Anolis sagrei: one gene and its partners. The protein of the gene in region 2 interacts with the protein of the main gene of each other region in a biochemical or structural test. Links are inferred from orthologs where the notes say so. Each region holds a gene or a part of one and is shown on either strand. Other genes may lie near its edges.

Region 1 (7,448 bases), on a different chromosome or scaffold from region 2:
AAGTTGCTTCTCGTCAATTTTGCTGTCACCTGGGATTATTATGATTATTATTTGTATCAGTAGCCATGTTGGCCTGGTAAAATAGTCCCAAAAGCAACACATATGGGGTCCGTGAGAACTTCCTGCTTCTCTTCACATGTTGATATAATTTGAGTTCTTGTGTAAATTTGTGAAATATGCCCAGACCAGACAATATCGCAAGACTTCCTATTGCAAATAGCCAGCAATGCCGGGCCTGTGTACGCATGTGAAAGGACTGCCAATGAAAATAAGTGTTTCAATTTATTCCCTAACCCAGTTCTACATGGCAAAAACAATGAAATTACAAAGCCCCACAAGCCCGACATCTGTTACCACTGGCTTAGAAGCCATGTTGTGATTACAGACAAGATTGTGAATCCTTTAGAGTAACAATGATTTCCTGCTCCATTTCCCAAGGCTTGATGATGTGCAGGGTGGACCACAAAAGAGCTCTGAGGTACAATAAAATAACAGTGTACAATATTCAGTTCGCAAGATTTCATTTCTCACATGTAATGTAAATATAGTTCTTATATATTCTGTATACAATTTTATGGACAGTCTTAAGGAACACGTGGACAGCATCTCTTCACACTCCAGTGTATTATTTTGCTTTGGGGAGCCTCCCTTCTGCTGTTTGGCAAAACAGAACTCACAGCACCTACTTCTCCACCTTTGAGTTCTCTCTAGGATTGGGTGGCAAATCTTGGGTGGCAAATCTTTGGCTCTGCAAAGAGTACAGACTACATCTCCCACAGTGCTGGCCGAGGCCCCCAAGTGCCAAAGTCCGAAAGATTTGGAGAATAAAAGTCCTTTTTTTCCCTCTCTCTCAAAATATTTTGGACTTCAACACTCAGGAGGCCTCGGCCAGCATGGTCAATGATGGAGGATTATTTATTTATTTACTTTCAACATTTATATGCCGCCCTTCTCACCCCAAAGGGGACTCAGAGCGGCTTACAAGTAATATGTACATACAATATATTACATTATTAGCACAGCACAATATTAGTATTATATATTACTATATTGTACTATACTACTGTACTGTAATAATATTAACATATATAATTATTATACTGTATTATTATCAGCATTATATTGTATGATATTATTTTCAATATTATATGTGTACACAATATATTATAATATTAGGGGAGATGTTAGGAATTGTGGGAGTTGAGGTCCAAAACACCTGGAGAGCCGAAGTTTGCCTATTCCTGGTGTAGATGCATCCTGTTTTTTTTTTTTTAAGATCCTGCAAGACTACAACTCCTGTGGCCGCCTGTGGAGAGTGGAACGCACAAGCAAAGCACTCCCGAGGGATAGTCATCCCGCCTGTCTGTGTGGGAGTTGCAGTCCAAAACACCTGGAGAGCTGAAGTTTGCCTATTCCTGGTGTAGGTGCATCCTGTGTGTGTGTTTTTTAAAAAGACCCTGCAAGACTACAACTCCTGTGGCCACCTATGGGGAGTGGATCTCACAACCAAAGCACTCCTGACAGATGGCCATCCTGCCTCTCTGTTTGGGAACTGAAGTCCAAAACACCTGGAGAGCCGAAGTTTGCCTATTCCTGGTGTAGATACATCCTGTGTTTTTTTTAAAAAAGACGCTGCCAAACTATAACTCTTGTGGCCGCCTGTGGTGAGTGGAACGCACAAGCAAAGCACTCCCGGCAGATGGCCATCCCTCCTCTCTGTGTAGGAGTTGGAAGTCCAAAACACCTGGGGACCCGAAGTTTGCCTATTCCTGGTGTTAGATGCATACTGAGTTTTAAAAGAAAGATTCTGCAAGACTACAATTCCTGTGGCCACCTGTGGGGAGTGGAACACACAAGCAAAGCACTCCTGACAGATGGCCATCCCGCCTCTGTGCGGGGACAGAAGTTCTAAACACCGGGAGAGCCGAAGTTAACCTATTCCTGTGGGGTTTTTTTTAAGATCCTGGAATACAACAATTCCTGCCACCACCTGTGGGGAGTGGAACTCACAAGCAAAGCACTCCTGACAGATGGCCATCTCCGCCTCTCTGTGTGGGGACTGAAGTCCTAAACACTTGGAGAGTCGAAGTTTGCCTATTCCTGGCGTAGATGCATCCTGTCTTTTTACAGGAAAGATCCTGCAAGCCTACAACTCCCGTGGCGGCCTGTGGGGAGAGCACTCCCGGCAGATGGCCACGCCGCCTCTCCCTGCTGGGCTCACCTCCTCCCGAAGATCTTGAGCCCGAAGCGCTTCTTGCTGTGCCTCCTTCCCAAGGCGGGCGCTCTCTCCGGCTCGGGGCACAAGGAGGTCTCGGAGCTGGCCGAGGACGGGGAGCTGGGGCAGGTGGCGGAGGCGGCGGAGGACGAGGAGGCGCCTCCAGCAGGAGCAGCAGCAGCAGAAGGAGCAGCAGCCCCGCCGCCAAAGCCGCTCTCCGGGGGCTCCATCCGCCCCGCTCTCACCTGGCCGGAGTCATGATGCCCTCCGCGGGCCCAGGGCCAGCCTCCCCTTCCCCTTCCCCCTCCGCCCTCCGGGGCCCATGGGCCACCCGCCTCAGGAGCCTCAACGGTCGCCGGTGGGGGAGGCGCGGCGGCGGGACACACATCCCCGGCGAGCCTCCTCCGCCGACTGAGCCGCGCAGGAAGTGTCAGCAGGCACCAAGGTAAGCAAGCCAGCCAGCCAGCAAGCGCCCGAGGACCCCGCTTAGCTGTCCGGGGAGCTGCCTCCTCGCAACGGCGCCCAAGCAAAGAAGGCAGGCAGGCAGGAAGGAAAGAGGCGCCGGAAAAAGCAAGCCGCCCGCGCCACCTGCCGGCCGCAAGCGCGTACTGCATGCAAGGAGCCCGGTTGAAGAGTCGGGACAGAGAGGCTGGGAAAAACAGCAGAGCAGGCATGGGCAGGAGCCCCTGGTGCCCCCAATGGGTTACACCCTTGTGCTGGCAGGATCGAATCCAGGGAGAAGCGGGTTGAGCTCCCTCTGTCAGCTCCAGCTTCCCATGTGGGGACATGAAAGAAGACTTTTTATTTTTATTCCTATTGTTATTTTTTTCTTCTTTTTTCCGGGTCTTTTCTTTTTCTTTTTATTCTATCTTTCTCCTTCCTACTCCCTTAATTATAACAAATATGTTCTCTCACTTACGATGTGGACTGCAAAGGATGATGGATTTGTAGTACTTTCAACTCCTTCGGTTTCCAGAGACCACTGTGGCTCCCAACAAAGACCAATAAAGGCCAAACTTGGCACACAGAGCCCCCATGACCCAATCTACTTCCTACTGTAGTTTGGAGGAGGGCGAATCATGGATAATGGGACTTCAAGTACCTCCACACATTTCCCAAGACCACTGCGACCCTCATCCGATGAAGACCAAACTTGGCACACATAACCCCCATGACCCCCTTTAGTTCCTGGTGAGGTTTGGGGGAGGACAGACAATGGATGATGGGATGTGTAGTACTTTCCAACCCTTCGGTTTCCACAGAACACTGCAGCCCCCATGATCCACTCTACATCCTGTTGTGGTATGAAGGAGGATTCACCATGGATGATGGGACCTGCAGTACCTTCACACACTTCATGAGATCACTGTGACCCTCACCAATGACAGAGTAAGATCGAACTTGGCACACAGAGCTACCATAACCCACTCTACATTCAGGGGCTGTTTGGAGGAGGATGGACCATGCTCGATGGGATTCACAGTACCTTCACTAACTGATAAAGAACACCTTTGCCACACAATGCCTTTCTCAAATAACCCAGGCAGCGCCGGGTCCCCAAACTAGTCTATAATAAAAGTCAGTGTTTGTATGTATTTCTGTATGTGTGGGAGATTAATTTGGCAGCTTTCTGATTGGCTCTCACTTTCATAGGCCACTGTGACCAGCACGGGTGACGAACCTGGACCAAACTTGATTTCAACACTGTTCTCCAGAGTCATAGTCCAAAGCTCAAACCATTACACCAGTGGTTCTCAACCTATGGGTCCCCAGATGTTTTGGCCTTCAACTCCCAGAAATCCTAACAGCTGGTAAACTGGCTGAGATTTCTGGGAGTTGTAGGCCCACAGGTTAAGTAACACTGCATTACACTATGCTGGCTCTCAGCGATCACACATAAACAAATACAGCAAGCAACACATTGCTTCCTAGAATACCCTGCCCCTGACTGTAAGCACACATGTGCAAAAACCCAGGCATTATCACTTGAGTCAAGACCTTGGCTTGTGTCAACATGGAACGCATGCCTAGATGATTTAAAAGCCCACAGACAACATTTCTCACATGCTTGTTTTGGATGCCAGTAGGATGCTGTTATTGCAGTGTCTAAAATATATTTGAGTGCTTGTTATTAAGCTCTTTTGTTAATCACTTCACTATAACAATAGATAGACAACACAGTTGGCCCTCAATTTTCACCGGTTTTACATTCATAGTTTCAATTATTCACGAGTTTGAAGCCTGCTGCCTTCCGAATGTGAGGGTGCTATTGGGGAGGTGTACATAGCGTGAGTCTCTGTTCCACCAGGCAAAACAGAGATTGCAGCACACAGGTAAGAGGCAGAGCCAGACCTAAGATGCTTAATTTTCCTTCAAATGGGAAAGTGATAAGAGGATTGTTGTATTGATCTTAGTGTTGTTAGCAGTTGTGGGTTTCTTTTTAGAGAAATAAAGCAATATATACATTATTATTATTATTACTATTACTACTACAACAACAACTATTATTGCGACGACTACTGTGAGAGAATTGGCCCTCTTTTTTTGTGCCAAGTCACTCATGACACAAAAAAAATCTTACTACTATTCAAGTCACTCCTGACACCAAAAAAATCTTACTACTATTATTACTACTATTATTGGAGGTGGCAGAATCTTGACCTCTTCTGGAGGTTCAGACAAAAGCACACTGCAACAGTCTCTCCTAGTTTGCCTGATCTTCCTCATTACTAACTTTTGCTATCTTGACCACACATTGATGGTTGATTGCCACTTGTGTCCCAGATTTCATCTGTTAAATGTTGGAAGGCATGGAATAGATACTGGGCAGCAGAGGGAAAGAGAATACCTCTTTCAAAATGAGGTAAGGCTCCATGTCCAATAGGATGCTGGGCCTGTGGAATAATCGGTAAGGAAGGGATTCCTGCAATTATACACACTTCCTTGTAAAAGTCCCTTACTGGGTGGTGAGTAGAGAGTGTCCTTGCATTACTTTGCTGGAGCAGGAAATGAAGAAGCCAGAGTTCACTTTCTGCAACAAAGAAACAGTGGCTAACATGTGAAACATTTGTAGATTCCTCAGTATACTGTATAATAAAACATTAGGGGAATGGGACTGGATCTTGTGCACAGATATTGTGGACAATCCTGTGAAACGTGGACTGCCTACAGATGTCACGCTTAACAATTCCATCAGCATTGCCTCTGAAAAATCCTGCAAATCTATTGGGAAGACAGGCAGACAAATGTCAGTGTGCTGGAAGAAGCAAAGACCACCAGCATTGAAATGATGTTCCTATGCCATCAACTCCACGTTGTCCGAATGCCCAATCACCATCTCCCAAAGCAGTTACTATACTCCCAACTCAAGAATGGAAAACAGAATGTTGGTGGATAGGAAAAGAGATTTAAAGTTGGGCTTGAAGATAACCTTGAAAACTGTGGCATAGACACCAAGAACTGGCAAGCTCTGGCCCTTGAGTGCTCTAGCTGAAGGTCAGCTGTGACCAGCAGTGCTGCGGAATCTGAAGAGGCACGAATGGAGGGCAAAAGGGAGAAACGTACCAAGAGGAAGGTGCGTCAAGCCAACCCTGACTGGGGCCACCTTCCATCTGGAAACCGATGTCCTCACTTTTGCAAAACATGTAGGTCAAAAATAGGGCTCCACAGTTCCCTACGTATCCACCGCCAAGACACTGAATTTAGAAGGCCATCATACTCAGATAACAAGGGATCACCTAACTGAACTGTGGACAATTGAAAAAAGCTTCTGCACCAGAGGGAACAATAAATAAAATGGTGTTTGTGACTCAAAAGTATTTGTGAAAGCCATTTCTTCAATTTCTTCAATAAGTGGGAGATATGGGGTGAATGTTCAGCTTCTCGGCATTTACACTACATGTTGCTGGCAAAATGTGACTTTCCAAGTTTTGTCGCTTTTAGTAATGAATAAAGCAATGCTGCCCCCTATCTGTGTCTATTAAGAACATATTTAAAAGTTAGTATGGAATAATGTACCGTATGAATTTCAGGGAGAGGAAACTGATGTACTGCAAATGTCTGGCTGCAAAGCACTGTCAATTAATCCAAGGTGGAATCTTCTTAATTAGAAATGCTTTGAGTGACTATGCAGAAGATTTTTCTGATCAAATCACTGCATTCTCTCTGCCAAATATAAGCAAAAATCAATAGAAGCGCATTTTGAATACAGGAGCCATGGATCCCAAATTCATTACTATACCCCAGTGGCTCTCAACCTGTGGGTCCCTTGGTGTTTTGGCCTACAACTCCAAGAAATCCCAGCCAGTTTACCAGCTGTTAGGATTTCTGGGAGTTGAAGGCCAAAACATCTGGAGTCCCACAAGTTAAGGACCATTGGAATATACATTTACCTTGTTGCAGTCAATGAAACTTCTGAGAGAACATGTGAGGAAATGAGTTTAGCTATAGGAATCTTTTGGTTCCAAACCAATAATCCCACTTAAAGGTTCCCAAAATGTGTGATCCATTAAAGCAGGAGGTGAACGGAAAGCTGATCTTGGGGAGAACAGAAAAGGAAATGTGGGATGGGAAAAGGAAAACTTTTCAGTTAATTATCCAAGTGTGAAGGATACACACGCTAAAGCCATTCAAGAGGATTCACTGTAGCTCACTGCAAACAATATACAAAATAAGAAAATAACATCATAAAATTAGAGGAGTATCAAAAATAAAAAAAAACTGACAACAATCTATATGCTAACAGATGGCAAGATGAGGGGGTGTGAGCTCTGATTTTCAGCCACAATGGCCCTGATACTTCAAAAGGGTAATAATGGATGCCTGAAGCTCTCTTCCTGGGGGACACAAATCACACCTTACTCATATATTCCATTCATCCATTCCAGATAAGGCCCCACAATTTTCTTGCTTCATTGGAACAACAGACCAGCCAATACAGACTCCTGTTCTTATCCTTCTTCTCTTAAGGCCCTTCTGTTTTATGGCAGCGTGCAGAGAACAAACCACACACCAACCCCGAAGTAATTCTAACCATCCCCAAAAAGACATTTGTATAGGATTAATCTCAGTATCAGTTGAGAAACATGCAGCACTGGGAGAAAAGCCAAATCAGATGTTCTGCTAATTGATCAATTGTGACAGCAGAGGAGTATATGTTGCAGTTATAATTCTCTAGATCAGGGGTCCTCAAACTAAGGCCCGAGGGCCGGATGCGGCCCTCCAAGGTCATTTA
Region 2 (7,438 bases):
CAAGAACAGAACTTTCCGACCTTTTTAACCTTCAGAAGGCACACTATAAAACCACAACTAAGAACCTGAGATTTGATTGTATGTGGTTCCAAAGGAGTAAGATATATATATAATCATTATTATTTTTATATATTAATTTTATATATATTCTACAAAACATGATTTCTATATATAAGTGGCAGTGACAGTACATTTTGTAATGAAATCACAGTTCAGATTGAAGAAGACACACTCAAGAATGGGTTCACACAAATCGGAATCCACAGGTGCACTTTCTGGGTGGAAATGTCACTGCAATCCCACATCCGCAGGGAAGCCTGAACATCCCTACCCAGCACCATTCCTTGGGTGGGAAGCTCAAGCAACACCCTTTGCCTGAGAAAGAGGCATATGGCAAGTGCTTGGGATGCCTGGGATGGGCAGGAAGGGTGAAGGAAGGCAAGGCCTTCCAAGGGGGAATCAACACTGCAAGCAGCTTGACACCACCTTAACTGCCAAGGCTCAATGCTATGGAATTCCGGGGGTTGCAGTTTTCAAAAAGGTCCTTAGCTTCCTCTTTGGCTGCTTTGAGTAAATGTTTTCTCCTGACATTAAGTCCAGTCGTGTCTGACTCTGGGGTTGGTGCTCATCTCCATTTCTAAGCCGAAGAGCCAGTATTGTCTCTAGACACCTCCATGGTGTTGACGCAGGCTTTCATGGTCAGAATCACTGGGTTGCTGTGAGTTTTCTGGGTTGTATATCCATGTTCCAGAAGCATTCTCTCCTGACATTTCACCCACATCTATGGCAGGAATCTTCAGAGGTTGTGAGGAAACTAGGCAACTAGGTTTATATATCTGTGGAATATCCAGGGTGGGAGAAAGAGCTCTTGTCTGCTGCAATTGGCCAGCTTGATTGGTATTAATACTTCTCAACATAGGATCCCCCCAGGCAGGAAACATCCAGGCCTTGAAGCTGTCAGGCTATTCAATGCTAATCAAACTGGCCAAGTACGACATTCACACTTGCCTCAGACAAGAGTTCTTTCTCCCACCCTGGATATTATTCCAGAGCTATATAAACCCAAATTGCCTAGTTTCCAACAGACCTCACAATTGGGTTGCTGTGAGTTTTCTGGAACTGTATGGCCATGTTCCAGAAGCATTCTCTCCTGACGTTTTGCTCAAATCTATGGCAGGCATCCTCAGAGGTTGAGGGGTCTGTTGGAAACTAGGCAAGTGGGGTTTATTTATCTGTGGAATGTCCAGGGTGGGAAAGAATTTTTGTCTGAGGCAGATGTGAATGTTGCAAATGGCCAGCTTGATTAGTATTAACACCTCCCAATATAGGATCCTCCCAGACAGGAAACTGCCAGGCCTTGAAGCTTCTAGGCTATTCAATGCTAATCAAGGTAGCCAATTGCAACATTCACACTTGCCTCAAATAGACAAGAGTTGGGTTGTTGTAGGTTTTTCAGGCTGTATGGCCATGTTCCAGAAGCATTCTCTCCTGATGTTTCACCCACATCTATGGCAGGCATCCTCAGAGATTGTGAGGAAACTAGGTGAGGTTGTATATATCTGTGGAATGTCCAGGGTGGGAGAAGCAACTCTTGTCTGTTTGAGGCAAGTGTGAATGTTGTAATTGGCCAGCTTGATTGATATTAACACCTCCTAACATAGGATCCCCCCAAGCAGGAAACAGCCAGGCCTTGAAGCTTCCAAGCTATTCAGGGCTAATCAAGTTTGCCAACTGCAACATTCACAAATGCCTCAAACAGACAAGAGTTGGGTTGTTGTAGGTTTTTCGGGCTGTATGGCCATGATCTAGAATCATTAATAGAATCATAGCGTTGGAGTAGACCTCATGGGCCATCCAGTCCAACCCCCTTCCAAGAACCAGGAAAATTGCATTCAAAGCACCCCTGACTGATGGCCATCAAGCCTCTGTTTAAAAGCTTCCAAAGAAGGAGCCTCAACCACACTCTGAGGTAGAGAGTTCCACTGCTGAACTGCTCTCACAGTCAGGAAGTTCTTCCTAATGATCAGATGGAATGCTTCTAGAACATGGCCATACAGCCTGAAAAACCTACAACCCAGTGATTCCGGCCATGAAAGCCTTGGCAATACACACAAGAGTTCTTTCTCCTACTCTGGACATTCCAGAGCTATATAAACCCCACTTGCTTAGTTTCCAACAGACCTCACAACTGGCTTGTTGTGAGTTTTCCGTGCTGTAAAGCCATGTTCCAGAGGCATTCTCTCCTGACGTTTCAACGTCACAACCTCTGAGGATGCCTGCCACAGAAGTGGGCGAAACGTCAGGAGAGAATGCTTCTGGAACATAGCCTGGAAAATTCACTTTCCCATGTTCTCAAGGGCAATTCCCCCTTTCCTTCTCTTCTCGGGAACTTCTTCCAAGGGGGGACTTCTCCTCCAGCGCTTTCCTGGCGCAGCTGGGAAGGAAACAAACTTAGTCCGGATCCCGTTGGCAAGGGGCTAAACTAAAGAAAGCAGGTTTAAAAGGGGCTCCAGAGGGTGAAAGGTTAGCTAGGCGATCAAGGGGGAGAACGGGCAGAGAGCGACCTCTCGGGGAGCCCCAGAAAAGAAGAGGAGGAGAAGGAGACCCACCTTTGATGCTGATGCCAAGGCCGCCCACGTCCTGCTTGACGATCCGGACGGTGCGCTTAATGTTGGTGAGGGCGTCCGGGACCAGGGCGGGCGGCGGGTCCCCGCCATTCAGTTGCCCGGGGCTGGACGGCGGCGTCTCCTCGGGCCCTTTCCCCGCTCCTCCTCCTCCTCCGCCGGGACTGACGCTCAAGAAGTCTTCGGAAAGAGCCAGCAGGACCCGCAACCACTGCTCGCCCGGCGCCCGCAGCTCCAGCAAGCCGCTCTTGGGCGCCCGCCGCCCGGCCGCCATCTTCAGCGCATTCCTTCCTCCCTCTCTCCCTTCCTTCCTTCCTTGCTTCCTCGCTCTGCCTTCGGTGGACGGACTCCGGCTCCAGCCCCGCCGCCTCTCCGCCTCTCCGCCCACCGAGCAACGCCCCCGGCGCCTCCCGCCCCGCGCCTCCACACCGAGGAACCAACGCGGGTTGGCACCGCTTTGCACTGCTAAGGCTCCATGCCCTGGAATCCCGGGAGCCGCACTTGGGCAAGGTCTCGCCCAATGACAACTGCCCTGATGCCACAGCGTCGAGCTAAGTAAAGCAGTGCCAGGGGTGACAAACGGCATCGTGTTGCTCAGCCTTCCTAATGCCCCGCGACCCCTCAACACAGTTCCTCAGGTTGTGCTGACCCCCAAACATCACATTATAATTGTCATTTTCCTACTGTTATGAATCATAATGTGAATATCTGAGATGTAGGGTGTATTTTCATTCACTGGACCAAATCTGGCACCTGGTACGCCCAAATATGAATACCACTGGGATGGGGGAGGATTGATTTTGTCATTTGGGAGTTGTAGTTGCTGGGATTTATAGTTCACCTACAACCAAAGAGCATTCTGAACTCCACCAAGGATGGAATTGAACCAAATTTGGCACACAGAACTCCCTCTTCCAACAGAAAGTACTGGAAGGGTTTGGTGGGCCTTGTATTGTGTCTGTTATTGCTTGTATTGATGTATTACGGGCTCAGCCTCATGTAAGCCGCACCGAGTCCCATGGAGAGATGGTAGCGGGGTATAAATAAAGTATTATTATTATTATTATTATTATTATTATTATTATTATGGGCCATTGGCCTTGAGTTTTGGAGTTGTAGTTCACCTACATCCAGAGAGCACTGTGGACTCAAACAATGATGGATCTGGACCAAACTTGGCACAAATACTCGATATGTCCAAATGTGAACACTGGTGTTGTTTGAGGAAAATAGACCATGACATTTGGGAGTTGTACTTGCTGGGATTTATAGTTCACCTGCAACCAAAGAGCATTCTAAACTCCACCAACGATGGAATTGGGCCAAACTTGGCACAGTGACTCCCATGACAAACATAAAATACTGGAAGGGTTTGGTGGGCCATTGACCTTGAATTTTGGAGTTGTTGTTCACCTACACTCAGAGAGCACTGTGGACTCAAACAATGGTGGATCTGGACCAAACTTGGCATGAATACTCAATATGTCCAAATGTGAACACTGGTGTTGTTTGAAGAAAATAGATGTTGACATTTGGGAGTTGTAGTTGCTGGGATTTATAGTTCACCTACAATCAAAGAGCATTCTGAACTCCACCAACGATGGAATTGTGCCAAACTTGGCACACAGAACTCCCTCTACCAACAGAAAGTACTGAAAGGGTTTGGTGGGCCATTGATCTTGAGTTCTGGAGTTATAATTCACCTATATCCAGAGAGCACTGTGGACTCAAACAATGATGGATCTGGACCAAACTTGGCACAAATACTCGATATGCCCAAATGTGAACACTGGTGTTGTTTGAGGAAAATAGACCTTGACGTTTGTAGTTGCTGGGATTTATAGTTCACATACAATCAAAGAGCATTCTTATCCATCTAACCCCATTTCTTATCCATCTAACCCCACATCCGTGAATCCAACCCCCATGGTGTCTGACGCCCCTCAATGTGGATCACATAACTACCCAGCAACTACCCATATGTCTTCTTTCATAAAATCTCTTTGTGGAAATCTTCAAATCTACCTTTGTCTTCTTTTCCTGATGTCCAAGTGCCAGCCTCCATTTGTTTGCAAATCCTTCATTATTTCTTCCTCTGCTACTATTTGTCAGCTTGGCCATTTGGATAGAATCTACTAATTTATCTCTCCAATCTTTGATAGCGAACTCTTTTTCCACCCTTCCATGTTTTAGCTATTATTAGTCTCACAGCAACAAAGCAATATTGATAAATTTCTTCATTTCTTGTGCAAATACACCTTCTAAATAGTCCTACTAACCACATTTCTGGGTTTTCCTTGACCTTTTTGTTAATCATATTGTTTGTTTCTTTCACCACCTTTTTCCAGAATTCTTGAACTATTTTACAGGCTTTCCCTTTCATCTCCAGTTTTGGGAAGCAGCGTTCAATGCTGACCACAGGGAGTTACTTTTATTCCATTTCCAAGCTGAGTAGCCTGTTGTTTATAGACACCACCTAGTTTTGTTGCTGGCATGGCTGCATGGACGCCTTTATTACCTTCCCGTCAAAGCGATACCTATTGATCTATTCACATTTGCATATTTTTGAACTGATAGGTTGGCAGGAGCAAGAGCTAAATTCAAACTCTACTGTCCTGACTAAACAGAACAAAGTGCAGCCTCCCAATTTTACTGTGTCCCAATTCCCATCAGGCCTAGTCATGTTTAAATGAGGGATGAGGGATGCAGTAATTGTAGTCCATCTGGAAGAGGGTCACATAAAATAGTTAGGCCTTTGGGCCTTGAATTTGACAGGTGGAATAGATGCAGCCAAGATATCTGGTGGAAGAGTAGGGATCTGTCTGCTTGACCTTTGGAGATTTGGAGATTTTTTTTTCATTTCTGGTGTGACATTGCTCAGGAGACGCCCAGATGTTTTACTATCCTGTGGAAGGCTTCTCTCATGTCCCTGCATGAAAAGCTGGAGCTGATAGATGGAAGCTCCCTGGATTTAAACCACTGACATTTCAGTCAGCAGTCCTACTGACACAAGGGTTTAACCCATTGCGTCGCCTTTGGAGATGCCCAGGGGCCTGAAATGGCCCCAAACAAGGCAGGCAGAGAGGGGCAAGGTGGCAGAGCTAAAAACTCACAAATAATAATCAAATCCACACAAAAGAAACCCACAAATATATACTGCCCTGTAAGATCTCCTGGTGGCACACAAGTCAAATCAATTTAAAACTCTTCAAATCAATGAACCTAATTCAAACAGTCTTTTAAAAAACCCAATATGATGAGGGGCAACTTTATTTTGCCCTATAACATCTCAGAGTGATACACACGTTCAACCAGACATGGGCCAACTTGGGCCCTCCAGGTGTTTTGGACTTCAACTCCCACAATTCCTAACAGCCTCGGGCCCTTTCCTTTTCCCCTCAGCCACTAAAGCCTGAGGCTGTTAGGAATTGTGGAAGGTGAAGTCCAAAACAACTGGAGGGCATAGGTTTGCCTGCGTTACACCAATTTTAAAACTCTTTAAAACAAGAGTCCTCATTTAAACAGACTAAAATATATATTCAACACTTTCAACGAGTCAAAAATAGATTTAAAATACTAAAACGTTCTAGCTATGGGCTTGAATGTGTTAGAAATAAATCAACATGGCTCCAAAGGTACTAATAAACAGCCATGGTTGACATTGTGCTGAAATGAAGCCTTCATTGGTCCTCCAAAAGAAGGGCATTCCACAATTGAGGTGCTCCCCCACCCCCCACCCCCATATCTTTCCACAACATATTGATCAGCAAGAGAGGAAAAGGCCCTTCTAACAGAGCTCAAACACTGAAAAGTCTTGATAAAATGAAAACAATCCTTTTCAAGAATTCTTTTGACTTGTATAGACGGTGGGTGCTTCTGTTGCTGCTATTGTTTAGATTCCGTGTTTAGAATGTTTTGCACTTCAGGAAATATTTCTGTGGTTTTATTTTTCTTTCTGTACACCACTCCCAAAAACATAATGTTACTGGGCAGTGTAAACATGGTCTGAATTACCACAAGAAGGTCTGTCCTCCGCTAGGAGAAAACTCCCTGTGGATCTGGGTTGTTGTAGGTTTTTCTAGAACATGGCCATATATCCCGAAAAACCTACAACAACCCAGTGATTCCAGCCATGGAAGCCTTCGACATTACATTCCCTGTGGATTGTTCTGTTTCCCTCCTTGAATGGCCTGCCACAGGCAGATGCATTTGTCAGAGGAAAATAGGTACACTTGTTGTTTGTCACTAACCTTAATAGTAGCTCTTTGTTGTGCCAATAACAAATGTTAAGAGCAAGCAGCTTCCATGACATTTTACAGCTGGAACTCCCCATTTGAGTTTGAAAATGTATTTTCCTCATTATCTTGAAAATTTGGAGAGCTTAGTATAGTGAAGTAAAGGTAAAAGTTTCCCCTGACATTAAGTCTAGTCGTGTTTGACTAGGGGGTGCTCATCTCCATTTCTAAGCCAAAGAACTGGCATTGCTCATAGACACCTCCTAGGTCATGTGGCCAGCATGACTGCATGGAGCACAAGCTACCTTCCCACATTTGCATGTTTTTGAACTGCAAGGTTGACAGAAGCTGGGCCTATCAGCGGGAGCTCACCCCGCTCTCCAGATTCGAACCACCAGCCTTTCGGTCAGCAAGTTCAGCAGCTCAGTGATTTAACCCTCTGCGCTACCAGGGGACTAATTATTATTACCAATTAGTATTTTTTTTGTCGTGTCAGGAGGGACTTGAGAAACTGCAAGTCGCTTCTGGTGTGAGAGAATTGGCCATCTGCAAGGACGTTGCCCAGGGGACGCCTGGATG
Region 3 (7,428 bases), on a different chromosome or scaffold from region 2:
AAAATGAAATCTGTCTAAAAGACACACTGTGCACCATCCTGAGAACCATCAGCTTCTCAGCAGGACACACATATTTCCAAAGAAGAAAAATAAATAGTTCTCTTAACGTCATGTCCCTTCAGAGTCATGTGGGTGAAGCTGGTGGCATCAATGAGGAATGGTGAACCTGCCCTGAGTTTCAATCCAAACTCGAAAAGAGAATTGAACCTATTTTAGGGATAAACAGCACGTATAGTTCCCTTTCAAGTTTGAAATGAAATCCAAAGCACAAGCATCCCCTCACTGACTTCAAAATCACCAACAACCACGCAAATAATGACATTCACAATTACTTTGGAAGGAACTACAGCTATTCCTTTCCTTCAACTAGAGTGCCAAAACTGCAATAGAATATTTGGCTAAAAGGCACCAAGGTGATATGGGCACATCCTCTAGGTCAGCGTTTCTCAACCTGAGGATTGGGACCCCTGGGAGGGGGTCATGAGGGGGTGTCAGAGGGGTCGCCAAAGATAATCAGAAAACGGTATTTTCTGTTGGTCATGGGGGTTCTGTGTGGGAAGTTTGGTCCAATTCTATAGTTAGTAGGGTTCAACGCATGGCAGCACGGTACGCATATATGGGTGAGAGAGAGCATGCGAGGCTGGAGGGAGGACGTGACAGCAAGTCCCTTCAAGGCATGGGGTTCTATGTGTTTGGCCCAATTCTAGGGTTCAGAATGCTCTTTGATTGTAGGTGAACTATAAATCCCAGCAACTACAATTCCCAAATGTCAAGGTCTATTTCCCCCAAACCTCCACCAGTGTTTACATTTGGGCATATTGAGTATTCATGCCAAGTGTGGCCCAGATTCATCATTGTTTGAGTCCACAATGCTGTCTGGATGTAGGTGAACTATAACTCCCAAACTCAAGCTCAATGCCCACTGATCCCTTCCAGTATTTTCCATTGGTCATGGGAGTTCTGTGTGCCAAGTTTGGTTCAATTCCAAATTGGTGGAGTTCAGAATGCTCTTTTGTGAACTATGAATCCCAGTAACTACAACTCCCAAATGACAAAATCAATCCACCCACAACCCCACCAGTATTCAAATTTGGGCATATTGGGTATTTGTGCCAAACTTGGTCCAGTGAATGAAAATACATCCTGCATATCAGATATTTACATTACGATTACATCACAGTGGCAAAATTACACTTATGAAGTATCAACAAAATAATTTTATAGTTGGAGGCCACCACAAAATGAGGAACTGTATTAAGTGGCCATGGCATTAGGAAGGTTGAGAAACACGACTCTACAGTTTGACAATTGCAGAGAACTCCACTCTAAGTTTTGGTATTGAACAGTAACGGAACTATCCAAACTCTTGGGCTATAATCTCAGTTATACTGAGACCAGAATCAACATTTCACATTGACAGAGTGATCCTCTATGGATGAATGACTGCCAGCATACCCATTCTGGGCAATAGTCTGAATGTTAGAGGAGTTACACAAGCTCCAAGCTTTATCCTCCACACTGTGATAAAGTAATAAAAATAGAATGATAGCACTTAATGGCACAGATGAGAAACAAAGCATGAGAATATCAACTGTCCACTCACCAAAAGACAGTACGAAAAAGAAAGGCAGCCAGCAGAGAATGAAGACCCCGACCACGATTGCGAGGGTTTTGGCGGCCTTCTTCTCCCGGGAGAACTTCAAGAGTCGCACGGAGAGGGAACTCCGGAAAGTGTGTCCCTTGTTCTTGGTGCTGGCCTGGGAGTCCTCCACAACGCTGCGGCAGTGGATCCGGAGCACGACCTCCATGGATTTGCTCCTCTCTTTTTTGACCCCGGCCTCCAAGCTCTTGGTGGTCCTCCGTGCCACCACATAGATGTTGAAGTACATCACCAGGATGACGGCCAGGGGCAAATAGAAGGAGAAGAGGGAGGAAAAGATGGCATACCCTGGCTCTTCCGTGATGTTGCAGTGCTGGTCGTTCTCAGGAGGTGCCTCCTTCCATCCCAGAAGGGGACCGATGGAGATGACCATGGAGGAGATCCAGACGGCCACCATGATGATCACCGCCTTCTTCTCAGTCATAATGGTGGGGTATTTCAGAGAGTACTTGACCCCGATGTACCGATCCACGGAGATGATGCAGAGGCTCATGATGGAGGCCGTGCAGCACAAGACATCCACCGCTGCCCAGATGTCGCAGAAGATGCGCCCAAAGACCCAGAGGTCCTCCAGAACTTCCAAGGTGGCTGAGAAAGGCAGGACGGTGGTGCTGAGGAGCAAGTCGGCGATGGCCAAGTTGATGATGAAGTAGTTGGTGACCGTCTGCAAGTGACGGTTGCAGGCCACGGAGAGGATGACCAAAATGTTGCCCACAATGGCCGAGAGGACGAAGAGGGCCAGAAAGACCCCTACACTCACCGACTGGAGGGTCAGCTTCAGAGCCAAGGAGGTGCCGTTGTTGGCCTGGACATCTTCCTCTCCGCCGGTCCCATTAATACCCCCAGCCTCTCCCGAGTGGTTCCCATTCAAGCTGGCATTAATCCGGTCAGAGAAAGTCATTCTTTTTCAACAAGGTCCGGTCTCCATGGGGTGGGACGTGGGATGGCTCAGCGTGGCAGAGGGACAGAGGAGAAGAAGGGCATAGGCATGGGCTTTCACTCACCCCAAACTCCCAGTCTCGCATCAGGAACTGAACCCATTCCTCTTCTGAGGTGCATGCTGTCAGGAGGAAAGTCTCTTCCCAACTTGTCCCGATCTCCCTTCTTCTGCAACTCTGGATCAAGATTCTCCAGACTCTGCAAATCTAAACCTACCAGGGATGCCCTTCAGTAAAAGACACCTTCATCCTTCTTTTCCCTCCTTAAATCCCCAGGGGCAAGTGGCTTCCCTTGCCAAGCTGCTGGATCTCGAGGAGCCCATCTTCCCTACCACAGAGGGACCCCGGTTTGTGAAGCAAGGAGGGGAGAGAAAGAGAAGGAAGGAAGGAAGGAAGGAAGGGAGGGAGGGAGGGAGGGAGGAAGGAAGGAAGGAAGGAAGGAGCTCCCCTCCTATGTCTTGGGCTCCTCCGCCCCTGCTTCCTCTTCCATCCAAGGTCCTCTTCAGCCAATTCCTGCAATCACAACAACTCGCAAAATGGTCTAGATGCCCACTCGTGCGGGGGAGGGAAGGAAACACCCGCAACGAAGAAGGAAAACAACCTTCTCCCCCTTTCTTTCTTTCTCTCTTCTTTGCGCCTCTCCAAATGTTGGGTACCAAATTCCCTCAAGCAGAAAGGTGGCTCATCTCAACCAGAGCAGGTAAAAAGTGAGAGGGAAGCTCAAGGTAGCAAGAAAGAGGATTTCTGGAGAGGAAGGACTGACTTCTTCTTCTTCCTTGTGCCTTCATCCAGAGAAGATGAGGGAGAGGATTGGGGAGGAGGCGTCACTTCCACCGGGATCCAAAGGGATGCGCCAAGCGGGGCGCACGGAGGAAGAAGAGGAGGAGAAGGAAGAGCATCCCCACTGGAGAAAAAACCGCTTTCCTTGCGACTCAGCCTGCCATGCAATCCTGGAGGAGGGAGACCAGCCTTCACTGCCCCACGGCGCTGCCTCCGACACAGGAAAGGAAAGGCAGAAAAGTCGCAATCCTTCCAGGCGCGGAGAAGAAGAAACTTTGCATTCAGGAGGCGGAGTGCGGTGGTGGAGGAGGAGGAGGCGCTCTTGCGGGATGGAGGGCTGGATGGATACACCTTTGGGGGGCTCGCTGTGCACGGAAACAGGAAGCCCAAAGGGAGAGGATGGGGACACGCTCCTTCTCTGGCTCTCAGCGGCCCCCCAATTGGGAGGAGACGCAGGCAAAGAGGGACCCCCTGCAACAGACTCTGCGCCCTGCAGTTGCCAAGATGCCCAACCAAGTGGATGGAGAGGGGAAGAAGCCGCCTGGCGTTTGGGGTGGGGGGAAGGGGAGGGAAGAGAAGGGGGGAGGAAACACGTTCTGGGTCAAAAGGGGAGGGGAGGCGGAGGAGGAGGAGGGGGAGGAGGAGGAGGGGGAGGCTGGAGCTGCTGCCCAAAATAGATTCATTGAAGGATTTCCAGCGCCTCCGCTGAGCGCACCGAAGCCGCTAGGGGACAGCAAAAGGCAGGGCTGCTCTTGGCCTCGCAGACTTACTACTCGCTTGGTCATCTTTTCGCATCTCGAATCCTAATGAACCGGCTCTTGTAGGACTGGAGTAGACTTCAGGTTCAACCAGGACTAGGGATCGAATCCCCCGCCCGGCTTAGAGAGGCGCATTTGGTGACCTTGGGCAAATAATGTTGGGAAGAGGAGCTATTAGACTCAAAATAATGCTCATTTGGAATCATTTGGGGTGATTCCACAATATATATGCTTAAGGCACTCTGCTATCTATCTATCTATCTATCTATCTATCTATCTCTGCTATCTATCCATCTCTGCTATCTATCTTTCTGTCTCTGCTATCTATCTCTGCTATCTATCTCTGCTATCTATCTATCTATCTATCTATCTATCTATCTATCTATCTATCTATCCATCTCTGCTATCTATCTGTCTGTCTATCTCTGCTATCTATCTATCTATCTATCTATCCATCTCTGCTATCTATCTGTCTGTCTATCTCTGCTATCTATCTCTGCTATCTATCTATCTATCTATCTATCTATCTATCTATCTATCTATCCATCTCTGCTATCTATCTGTCTGTCTATCTCTGCTATCTATCTATCTATCTATCTATCTATCTATCTATCCATCTCTGCTATCTATCTGTCTGTCTATCTCTGCTATCTATCTATCTATCTATCTATCTATCTATCTATCTATCTATCCATCTCTGCTATCTATCTGTCTGTCTATCTCTGCTATCTATCTCTGCTATCTATCTATCTATCTATCTATCCATCTCTGCTATCTATCTTTCTGTCTCTGCTATCTATCTCTGCTATCTATCTATCTATCTATCTATCTATCTATCTATCTATCTATCCATCTCTGCTATCTATCTTTCTGTCTCTGCTATCTATCTCTGCTATCTATCTCTGCTATCTATCTATCTATCTATCTATCTATCTATCCATCTCTGCTATCTATCTGTCTGTCTATCTCTGCTATCTATCTATCTATCTATCTATCTATCTATCTATCTATCTATCTACCTCTGCTATCTATCTGCCTGTCTGTCTGTCTGTCTCTGCCATCTATCTATCGATCTATCGATCTATCATCTATCTATCTATCTATCTATCTATCTATCTATCTATCTATCTATCTATCTATCTATCTATCTACCTCTGCTATCTATCTGTCTGCCTGCCTGCCTGCCTGTCTATCTGTCTCTGCTACCTACCTACCTACCTACCTATCTATCTATCTATCTATCTATCTATCTATCTACCTCTGCTATCTATCTGTCTGTCTGTCTGTCTATCTCTGCTATCTATCTATCTATCTATCTATCTATCTATCTATCCATCCATCCATCCATCCATCCATCTAATTAGAGTGCCTAAAGTGCAGTTCATAATCAACAGAAACTTAGGTGTATTGAGATAGGATTGTTGTTGTTCATTCGTTCAGTCGTTTCCTTCAGACCAGCCCACGCCAGAGGTCCCTGTTGGTCGTCACCACCCCCAGCTCCTTCTTCAAGGATACCATCCATCCATCCATCCATCCATCCATCATAGGATTAGCTTTCATATAATCATAGAGTTGGAAAAGGGCCATCCAGTCCAACTCTCTGCCAAGAAGCAGGACAATCGCGTTCAAAGCACCTCCAACAGATGGCTATCCAGCCTCTGTTTAAAAGCCTCCAAAGGAGGAGCCTGGGGCAGGGAGTTCCACTGCTGAACAGCTCTCACCCTTAGAAATTTCTTCCTCAAGTTCAGATGGAATCTCCTTTCCTGTAGTCTGAATCCAGTGTTCCACATCTTAGTCTCCAGGGCAGCAGTAAACAAGCTTTCTCCCTCCTCCCTATGACTTCCCCCCACATATACATGGCTATCATATCTCCTCTCAGCCTTCTCTTCTTCAGGCTAAACATGCCCAGCTTTTTAAGCTGCTCCTCATCGGGCTTGTTCTCCAGACCCTTGATTCTTGGAGTCAAATTCCTCTGGACACATTCCAGCTTAGAGTCAACCTCTCCCTTCAATTGTGGTGGCCAGAATTGGACACAGTGTGATTCCAGGTGTGGTCCGACCAAAGAAGAATAGTGTGACTTCCCTGGATATAGACACTACATTCCTATTTATTTATTTATTATTTCCAACATTTCTACCCTACCCTTCTCAACCCCTGAGGGGGCGGGGCGGGCTCAGAGCGGTTTACACAGGCAAAAATTCGATGCCACAACATACAAAACAATTATAACAGATATAATAACAATTTAAAACAGTAAATAATATTTATTTATTTATTTATTTATTTAATTACAGCTTTTATATTCCGCCCTTCTCACCCCACAGGGGACTCAGGGTGGATTACAGTCTACACATATATGGCAAACATTCAATGCCGATTTTTGACATACAGACATATACAGACATAGACAGAGGCTATTTAACTTTTTCTGACTGCTGGAGCTGTCGCTTTCATCGTCCATCTGCGACGCTGATAAAGTACTTCCGCATTCCTTGCATGCTTCCCCGCTGGAATGCTTTGCTGGAGTCTTCTCTATGGCCTCATAAATTAGTTAATTTAGCCTCCCCACACTTTAATGTGGTACCTAATTTTCCTACTTGACAGATGCAACTGTCTTTCGGGTTGCAAAGGTTGACAACAGGCTACACACAATTGGTTAGAAACCCACTCCAACCTGGGCTGGCTGCGAACTCATGACCTTTTGGTCAGAGTGATCTTTTAATGCAGCTGACACTCAGCCAGCTGCGCCACAATCCCGGTAAGTTAAAAACAATTTAAAACATTGCAGTCCAACATCCCATTGGCTTTGACAACACAATAATAATAACAATAATAAATAAGCCACCTTTCTCCCAGCTTTGGAGGAAAGCAAAAGCAAACAAACCCCCTCTGGACCTGTTCTTCCAAGAAACCTCTTCTAATAGGGTCACCGTAAGACACACAGCAACAACAAGAATCCTATGATCAGAGGATGCCTGCCTTCCTAAAGCCTTTCATTTCAGGGAATTCCCTTTTAAACTGCAGGTGTTTTCCCTCTTAACATGACTTGGCACGTAGACTATTTTGGAGAACTATTTTTTTTAATTGCAGGTGTTTTTGTTTTGCAAGCATTGTCTGACGAAGATCAGACCTCCGATGGAGGAGGGAAGACATGAGGAGGGTTTAAAGTGGATTCATTCTCTAGATAACTGCAACGCACTCTACGTGGGGTTGCCTTTGAAGACTGTTCGGAAACTTCAATTAGTCCAGCGGGCGGGAGCCAGATTACTCACCGGAGCATCATACAGGGAGC
Region 4 (7,473 bases), on a different chromosome or scaffold from region 2:
GTCAGGCCCATAGCCAGGATTTCGATTCGGGGGGGGGGGGGGGGCTGAGTTTTTTTTCAGGGGGGTTTCGGGGGGGCTGAGTTTCGGGGGGGGGCTGAGTCTGAGTGAAAGAGGGTCTACCCTAGCAAACCTTTTGTATTGTTATTCCCAATACCCCAATGCATATGGGATATATTGAGTATGGTGATCAGATCATGATATGAATAAACATAACAGTTTAAATAATGCACCAGTAAGGCCTTTTCGCGAACCACCATGAGAATTTGGGGGGGGGGGGGGCTAAAGCCCCTCAAGCCCCCCCCCCCCCCCCCCCCCCGGCTACATGCCTGGCTCCTGTGCAACAACATCCTTACATACTTAAATAGCAGTCTAGAAGCTTGATTGATACAACCTCATTGCATGGGCTTTCAGCCCCATCCTATTATGCTGCCAAGACGTAGCCGGGATGGAGCTCACCAGAGCCCATCACATGACACAGGGCTATTTCCAGTGGTGCTTCATGCTGGCTTTGTGCCGGCAGTGTGGTAAGCGTGCGAAATATGCTGGCTCCATGCTCAGCAGCGTAATAATAATAATAATAATAATAATAATAATAATAATAATAATAATAATAATTTTATAATATTATAATAATAATAATTGCAAGAAAATCGCACAGATGGACTACAAACAAAGACACAACTCTGTGGCTCAGATGATTCACTGGAACGTATGTCACAAGTACCACCTGCCAGCAGCAAAAAACTGGTGGGATCATAAACCCTCAAAGGTCATGGAAAATGAACACGCAAAAATACTGTGGGACTTTCGAATCCAGACTGATAAGTTTTGGAACACAATACACCAGACATCACGATTGTGGAAAAGAAAAAAGTCTGGATTATTGATGTCGCCATACCGGGTCACAGTCGCATTGAGGAAAAACAACAGGAAAAACTCAGCCGCTATCAAGACCTCAAAATTGAACTGCAAAGGCTCTGGCATAAAGCACAGGTGGTCCCAGTGGTCAAAAAGATCTCTTCCAAAAGATCTCAGCCGGCATTTGGAAACAATAAACATGGACAAAATCATGATCTGTCAATTGCAAAAGGCCACCTTACTTGGATCTGCACGCATCATTCAAAAATACATCACACAGTCCTAGACGCTTGGGAAGTGTTTGACTTGTGATTTTGTGATATGAAATCCAGCATATAGATCTCGTTTGCTGTGACATACTGTGCTTTTGTGTCAGTAAAATAATAATAATAATAATAATAATCTTTATTTATACCCCGCCACCATCTCCCCAAAAGGGACTCAGAACAGCTTACATGCCCAGCGATACATTACAGCAACATAAAACAGCAAAATAACATCACAATAAAATAAACCAATCAAGTAAAATAAATAGTACAAAATAACATAATGAAAAATAAAAAGTGGTGGTCAAGAGAACATGGGGACAACATGGGAGCAAGCCACGGACAAATGGATTCCAGAGCAATTTCCACCAACAATTTACCCTGCTGCCCCATGGATTCACTACACTATCCCACAGATGCCTCCGCTGTCCCCCGGTTAAGGACCTCCATGTGACAAGGTCCTTAATCTTAACAGAGGCTATATTCTGAGCAACCACTTTGAAGCAAAGGTTGAGGGACCCCATCACATGGATAAGGTCCAGCGCCTTGATTCACCAGCCTCCGTTGCAAATCATGGTGGCAGCGCATATGGCAGCAGAGCAATCCCAACGACCCAGCCAGAAGCAGTTTCCTCATCCCACATGGGGAAGAGTCTCTCCCTCCATCAAAGCTCTATTGTTTCTTAAGAAACATAGGATGGCTTCTGTTTTGGCATCCCACCATGGTGCCACTCAAATTCACTCACAAAGCCCTACTGCAGTAGTTCTCAACCTGGGGGTCGGGACCCCTGGGGGGGTCAAGAGGGGGTTTCAGAGGGGTCGCCAAAGACCATCCAAAAATGTATTTTCTGTTGGTCATAGGGGTTCCATGTGGGAAGTTTGGCCCAGTTCTATCGTTGGTAGGGATCAGAATGGTCTTTTATTGTAGGTGAACTATAAATCCCAGCAACTAAAACTCTCAAATGCCAAGGTCTATTTTCCCCAAACTCCACCAGTGTTCATTCACATTGGGCATGTTGAGTATTCATGGCAAGTTTGGTCCAGATCCATCATTGTTTGAGTCCACAGTGCTCTCTGGATCTAGGTGAACTACAACTCCAAAACTCAAGGTCAATGCCCACCAAACCCTTCCAGTATTTTCTGTTGGTCACGGGAGTTCTGTGTGGCAAGATTGGTTCAGTTCCATTGTTGGTGATCATAATGCTCTTTGATTGTAGGTAAACTATAAATCCCAGCAACTACAACTCCCAAATGACAACATCAATCCCCTGCCAACCCCACCAGTATTCAAATTGGGGCATATCACGTATTTGTGCCAAATTTGGTCCAGTGAATAAAAATACATCCTGCATATCAGATATTTATATTATGATTAATAACAGTAGCAAAATTGTAGTTGTGAAGTAGCAACAAAAATAATATTATGATTGGGGGTCACCACAACATGAGGAACTGTATTAAGGGGTCACAGCATTAGAAAGGTTGAGAACCACTGCCCTACTGGAGGTCACCCTATGTTATTTGATGGGCAGCATAGGGCTCCATAGATGCTTCAATTGTTCCATGAGATAAGACTGAAAGTCTCTTCTTTTCCAATTACCCATTCCTAGATTTCAAGTACCAGTGTATTACTGTTCTCTAACCTCTGATTTTGTAGGCTCACTCCAGAATTCTATAACAAATTATGCTTTACTCACCGTGCATTGTGGAATACAGTACAATATTGACAGTTTCACTTACCCACACTCCAAAAACAATTTCCCTTAGAAGTATTTGTGGGCTCCTCTAAATCCTCCAATAACGGGTTCTCTATTATCCACAGTTTAACTATCCATGGTGGAACCTTGGAACGTATCCCCCACAGATGCAGGGGTTGTACTGTAATTAATGTCAAAATCATGTATGTTTTTAGTATAGTGTAAATATATATCAGTTACACTATAACTCGGTTACACTATAACTCAGTTATGCAACTGTTCCAATGGCCCTGAGCTCTATGGTTGTACAACTGTCACTCAGTTCCACTCCGGCCAAGTCAAAAGTGAGAGAGAGAGCTGAACACTTGCACAACAACTGACTGAAGAAGCAAAACAGCTTGTGAAACTCTTTTTACCTTGGACAAATCATACTTTCTCCGTCTCAGAGGAAAGTAAAGGCAACCCACCCTCTGAACAAATCTTGCCATAAGTCAGAAACAGCTTGGAGGCACATAACAACAACATCAGTGTTCAGCACAATTCTTATTTATTTACTTTACTTTACTTTACTTTACTTTACTTTACTTTACTTTTATACCGCTGTTCTCAACCCGAAGGCGACTCACGGCAGTTCACAACAATAAGAACAGCAAAAATTCAATGCTACAGTATAAAAAACAGTTAACAACCTAACACATTACACAATTAATAAACAATTACTACAATAACCATTCACTATCGTCAAATCATCAAAAACATAATCCAGATTCGTCATCCATTGTTCCATTCCTATGTTCATTACCAATCATTGCACTGATTACTTGAACGCCTGCTCAAACAGCCAGGTCTTCACGTTTTTGCGGAATACCATTAGAGATGGTGCTAGTCTAATGTCCGAGGGAAGAGCGTTCCACAGCCGAGGAGCCACCTCCGAGAAGGCCCTATCTCTCATCCCCGCCAGCTGTGCTTGAGAAGCAGGCGGGATCGAGAGCATGGCCTACCCGGAAGATCTCAAAGTCCTGGTGGGTTCATAGGCAGAGATGCGGTCGGATAGGTAGCTTCTAGCTAATATTTCAACTGAAAAGGATCCAGGCCACAGAATAAGCAACAGTCATGTTTATGTTGTTGTTTAGAGCCCCCCGTGGCGTAGTGGGTTAAACCGCTGAGCTGCTGAACTTGTTGACCGATAGGTCACAGGTTCAAATCTGGGGAGCGGCGTGAGCTTCTGCTGTCAGCCCCATCTTCTGCCAACCTAGCAGTTCAAAAACATGCAAATGTGAGTAGATCAATAGGTACCGCCCCGGCGGAAAGGTAACGGCACTCCATGCAGTCATGTTGGCTACATAATCTTGGAGGTGTCTATGGACAACAGCGGCTCTTCGGCTTAGAAATTGAGATGAGAACCAACCCCCAGAGTTGGACATGACTGGACTTAATGTCAGGGGAAAACCTTTACCATTACCCATGTTGTTGTTTATTCGTTCAGTCATTTCTGACTCTTCGTGACATCCTGGACCAGCCCACACCAAAGTTCCTTTTCGGCCATGGCCACTTCCAGTTCCTTCAAATTCAAGCCAGTCATGTCAAGGATACAATCCATCCATCTTGCCCTTGGCCTGCCCCTCTTCCGTTTTCCTTCCTTTCCCCCAGCATCATTGTCTTCTCCAAGCTTTCCTGTCTTCTCATTATGTGACAAAAGTACTTCATCTTTGCCTCTAATATCCTTCCCTCCAGTGAGCAGTTGGGCTTTATTTCCTGGAGTATGGACTGGTTTGATCTTCTTGCGCTCCAAGGCTCTCTCAAAACAGTTATGCAAATACCAAAACGAAGTGTTAAGGGCATCACATTTGAATCTTCCTAATGGACCATTGTTCCAATTTGTTTCTTCCTAATCCAACTGTCCTACTGCTGTTTTAGATGGCATCGTTCTCATTCTATTGTCTACATTTTAACTCTTTTTAAATTTATTATTGACAACATTTATATGCCGCTCTTCTCACCTGGAAGGGGACTCAGAGCGGCTTACAAGATATATATATATATACACACACACACACATATATATACACAATATATTATATTATTAGCATAGTACAATATCAATATTATATATTATTATATTGTTCTATATCATTATATTGTTATATTATTGTTGTTGTTGTTGTTCATTCGTTCAGTCGTCCCCGACTCTTCGTGACCTCATGGACCAGCCCACGCCAGAGCTCCCTGTCGGCCGTCACCACCCCCAGCTCCTTCAAGGTCAGTCCAGTTGCTTCAAGGATGCCATCCATCCATCTTGCCCTTGGTCAGCCCCTCTTCCTTTTGCCTTCCACTTTCCCCAGCATAATTGTCTTCTCTAGGCTTTGCTGTCTCCTCATGATGTGGCCAAAGTACTTCAACTTTGCCTCTAGTATCCTTCCCTCCAATGAGCAGTCGGGCTTTATTTCCTGGAGGATGGACTGGTTGGATCTTCTCGCAGTCCAAGGCACTCTCAGAACTTTCCTCCAACACCACAGTTCAAAAGCACCTATCTTCCTTCGCTCAGCCTTCCCTAAGGTCCAGCTCTCACATCCGTAGGTTACTACAGGGAATATCATGTTATATTATTAGTAATTATAATTATAATATTGTATTATTAGTAGTATTATATTGTATTACATTATAATATTATAAATATTATATATATATACAATATATGATATTATTAGTAAAGCACAGGAAAAAGGAAGAGGGACCGATCAAGGGCAAGATGGGTGGATGGTATCCTTGAAGTGACTGGATTGACCTTGAAGGAGCTGGGGGTGGTGATGGCCGACAGGGAGCTCTGGCTTGGGCTGGTCCATGAGGTCACGAAGAGTCGGAAATGACTGAACGAATGAACAACAACAAAAGCACAGGAGACAAGATGGAACTGTCTTCTGCCCCCTTTTCTCTTCACTTTGGCCAGAGCAGCAGTTGGTGCCAGAGAGGGGAGGCCTCCCAACTGATGATATAGGCAGGAGACAAGATGGAACTGTCTTCTGCCTTCCTTTCTCTTCACTCTTATTAGTGCATTCCTGGCTCTATCTTCACTACCGTCTCTTCGAGGACCAGAAGTTTTATGCTCTTTTATGCAGTAGGTCAAGTATTGAAATAGCTGCATCACCAGTCACCACACAGAACAAATATTCTTGATCTGATTCACTTCCACTCTGTGGCCTTGCATTTATTGTAAGCTGCATAGTGTAAATTTCTTTGAAGGGTGCAGTATAAATAACTTTAAAGAAATATGCAAATCAGTCATGGTGTGTACAATGCATGTCATGAAGGGTCATAATTCTGGCATAATAAAACATCATATGCACTAGACTGGGCTTCTGCATGCAGCCATCCCCTCACCTCCTTCTTTTGTTGAAGCAAGTAAGCAAAGCATGTCCGAAATATGATTTATTGATTTATTAGTTTGCTTTATTCGATTCCTTACCTCTGTACTCACTAGTACCCCTGCAGCAATGCACAATTGATAAAAACACTTTGAAAACATGAAATAATTTTTTAAATCCATTATAAGCAGTCCAAATTCCTCTTTAAAATCCAGCTAACACCAGCAAACAGTTTCAAAAAATGTGGAGCACCCGGTGGCACAGTGGGTTAAACCCCTGTGCTGGCAGTACTGAAGACCGACAGGTCACAGTTTCAAATCCTGGGAGAGCGCGGATGAGCTCCCTCTGTCAGCTCCAGCTCCCCATGCGGAGACATGAGAGAAGCCTCCCTAAAAGGATGGTAAAACATCAAAAATATGTGGGTGTTCCCTGGACAACGTCCTTACAGATGGCCAATTCTCTCATACCAGAAGCGTCTTGCAGTTTCTGAAATCACTCCTGACATGGGGAAAAAAGAGTTCTGGCCAAGGTGGTCCACGCCTTAGTCACCTCTAGACTGGATTACTGCAATGCACTCTACATGGGGCTGCCCTTGAAAACAGCCCGGAAATTTCAGATGATCCAACGGGCGGCAGCCAGGTTGTTAACTGGGGCTCCTTACAGGGAGCGGTCAACCCTCCTGTTCAAGGAGCTCCACTGGCTGCCATTCATCCACCGGACCCAATTCAAGGTGCAGGTTCTTACCTACAAAGCCCTGAATGGTTTGGGACCCGCCTACCTGCGTGATCGCATCTCTGTATACAAACCCACACGATCCCTTCGATCATCCGGGGAGGCCCTGCTCTCGATCCCACCAGCATCGCAGACGCGATTGGTGGGGATGAGAGAGAGGGCCTTTTTGGTGGTGGCCCCTCAACTCTGGAACTCACTCCCTAAAGACATCAGACAGGCTCCAACTTTGGCAGTCTTCAGGAGGAACTTGAAGACGTGGCTGTTCCAGTGTGCCCGGAATAATGACCCCATAGCACTTTGTCCTCCAAAGCACTTTACATTTCTTTAAGTGTGCTTGTATGCCCTTCCACAAACACCAGTATCACCTTCTGTTCATGTCCCAGCATTATTTCCAATTTTAACTTAACATTTGGCCTTCCCACTGTTTTTAACTATGTGTTGTTTTATTGATAATGTTGTTTCTTATTGTCTATGTATTTTAATAGCTTGTATTGTTGTTATTATTGCTTGTATTGTTGTGTTTGGGCTCGGCCTCATGTAAGCCGCACCGAGTCCCTTG

What was found.
Region 1: the proteins of SNTA1 (region 2) and DGKZ form a complex in vitro, tested with the Homo sapiens proteins (2 studies listed by BioGRID and IntAct, with this or other methods). The link is inferred for Anolis sagrei from reciprocal best matches to the Homo sapiens genes SNTA1 and DGKZ.
Region 3: the proteins of SNTA1 (region 2) and ADRA1D interact in a test that uses a peptide from one of them, tested with the Homo sapiens proteins (2 studies listed by BioGRID and IntAct). The link is inferred for Anolis sagrei from reciprocal best matches to the Homo sapiens genes SNTA1 and ADRA1D.
Region 4: the proteins of SNTA1 (region 2) and sodium channel protein type 4 subunit alpha interact in a test that uses a peptide from one of them, tested with the Homo sapiens proteins (2 studies listed by BioGRID and IntAct). The link is inferred for Anolis sagrei from reciprocal best matches to the Homo sapiens genes SNTA1 and SCN4A.

What each region holds. Positions count from the first base shown.
Region 1 is NC_090021.1:278,501,797-278,509,244, reverse strand, and holds the start of DGKZ (diacylglycerol kinase zeta), read right to left. Parts: upstream 3,019-7,448; 5' UTR 3,004-3,018; coding exon 2,222-3,003; intron 1-2,221. UniProt on the Homo sapiens protein: Diacylglycerol kinase that converts diacylglycerol/DAG into phosphatidic acid/phosphatidate/PA and regulates the respective levels of these two bioactive lipids.
Region 2 is NC_090024.1:208,951,774-208,959,211, forward strand, and holds the start of SNTA1 (alpha-1-syntrophin), read right to left. Parts: upstream 3,018-7,438; 5' UTR 2,899-3,017; coding exon 2,610-2,898; intron 1-2,609. UniProt on the Homo sapiens protein: Adapter protein that binds to and probably organizes the subcellular localization of a variety of membrane proteins. May link various receptors to the actin cytoskeleton and the extracellular matrix via the dystrophin glycoprotein complex.
Region 3 is NC_090025.1:9,059,558-9,066,985, forward strand, and holds the start of ADRA1D (alpha-1D adrenergic receptor), read right to left. Parts: upstream 3,010-7,428; 5' UTR 2,562-3,009; coding exon 1,604-2,561; intron 1-1,603. UniProt on the Homo sapiens protein: This alpha-adrenergic receptor mediates its effect through the influx of extracellular calcium.
Region 4 is NC_090026.1:48,522,507-48,529,979, reverse strand, and holds the start of sodium channel protein type 4 subunit alpha, read right to left. Parts: upstream 3,019-7,473; 5' UTR 2,864-3,018; intron 1-2,863. UniProt on the Homo sapiens protein: Pore-forming subunit of Nav1.4, a voltage-gated sodium (Nav) channel that directly mediates the depolarizing phase of action potentials in excitable membranes.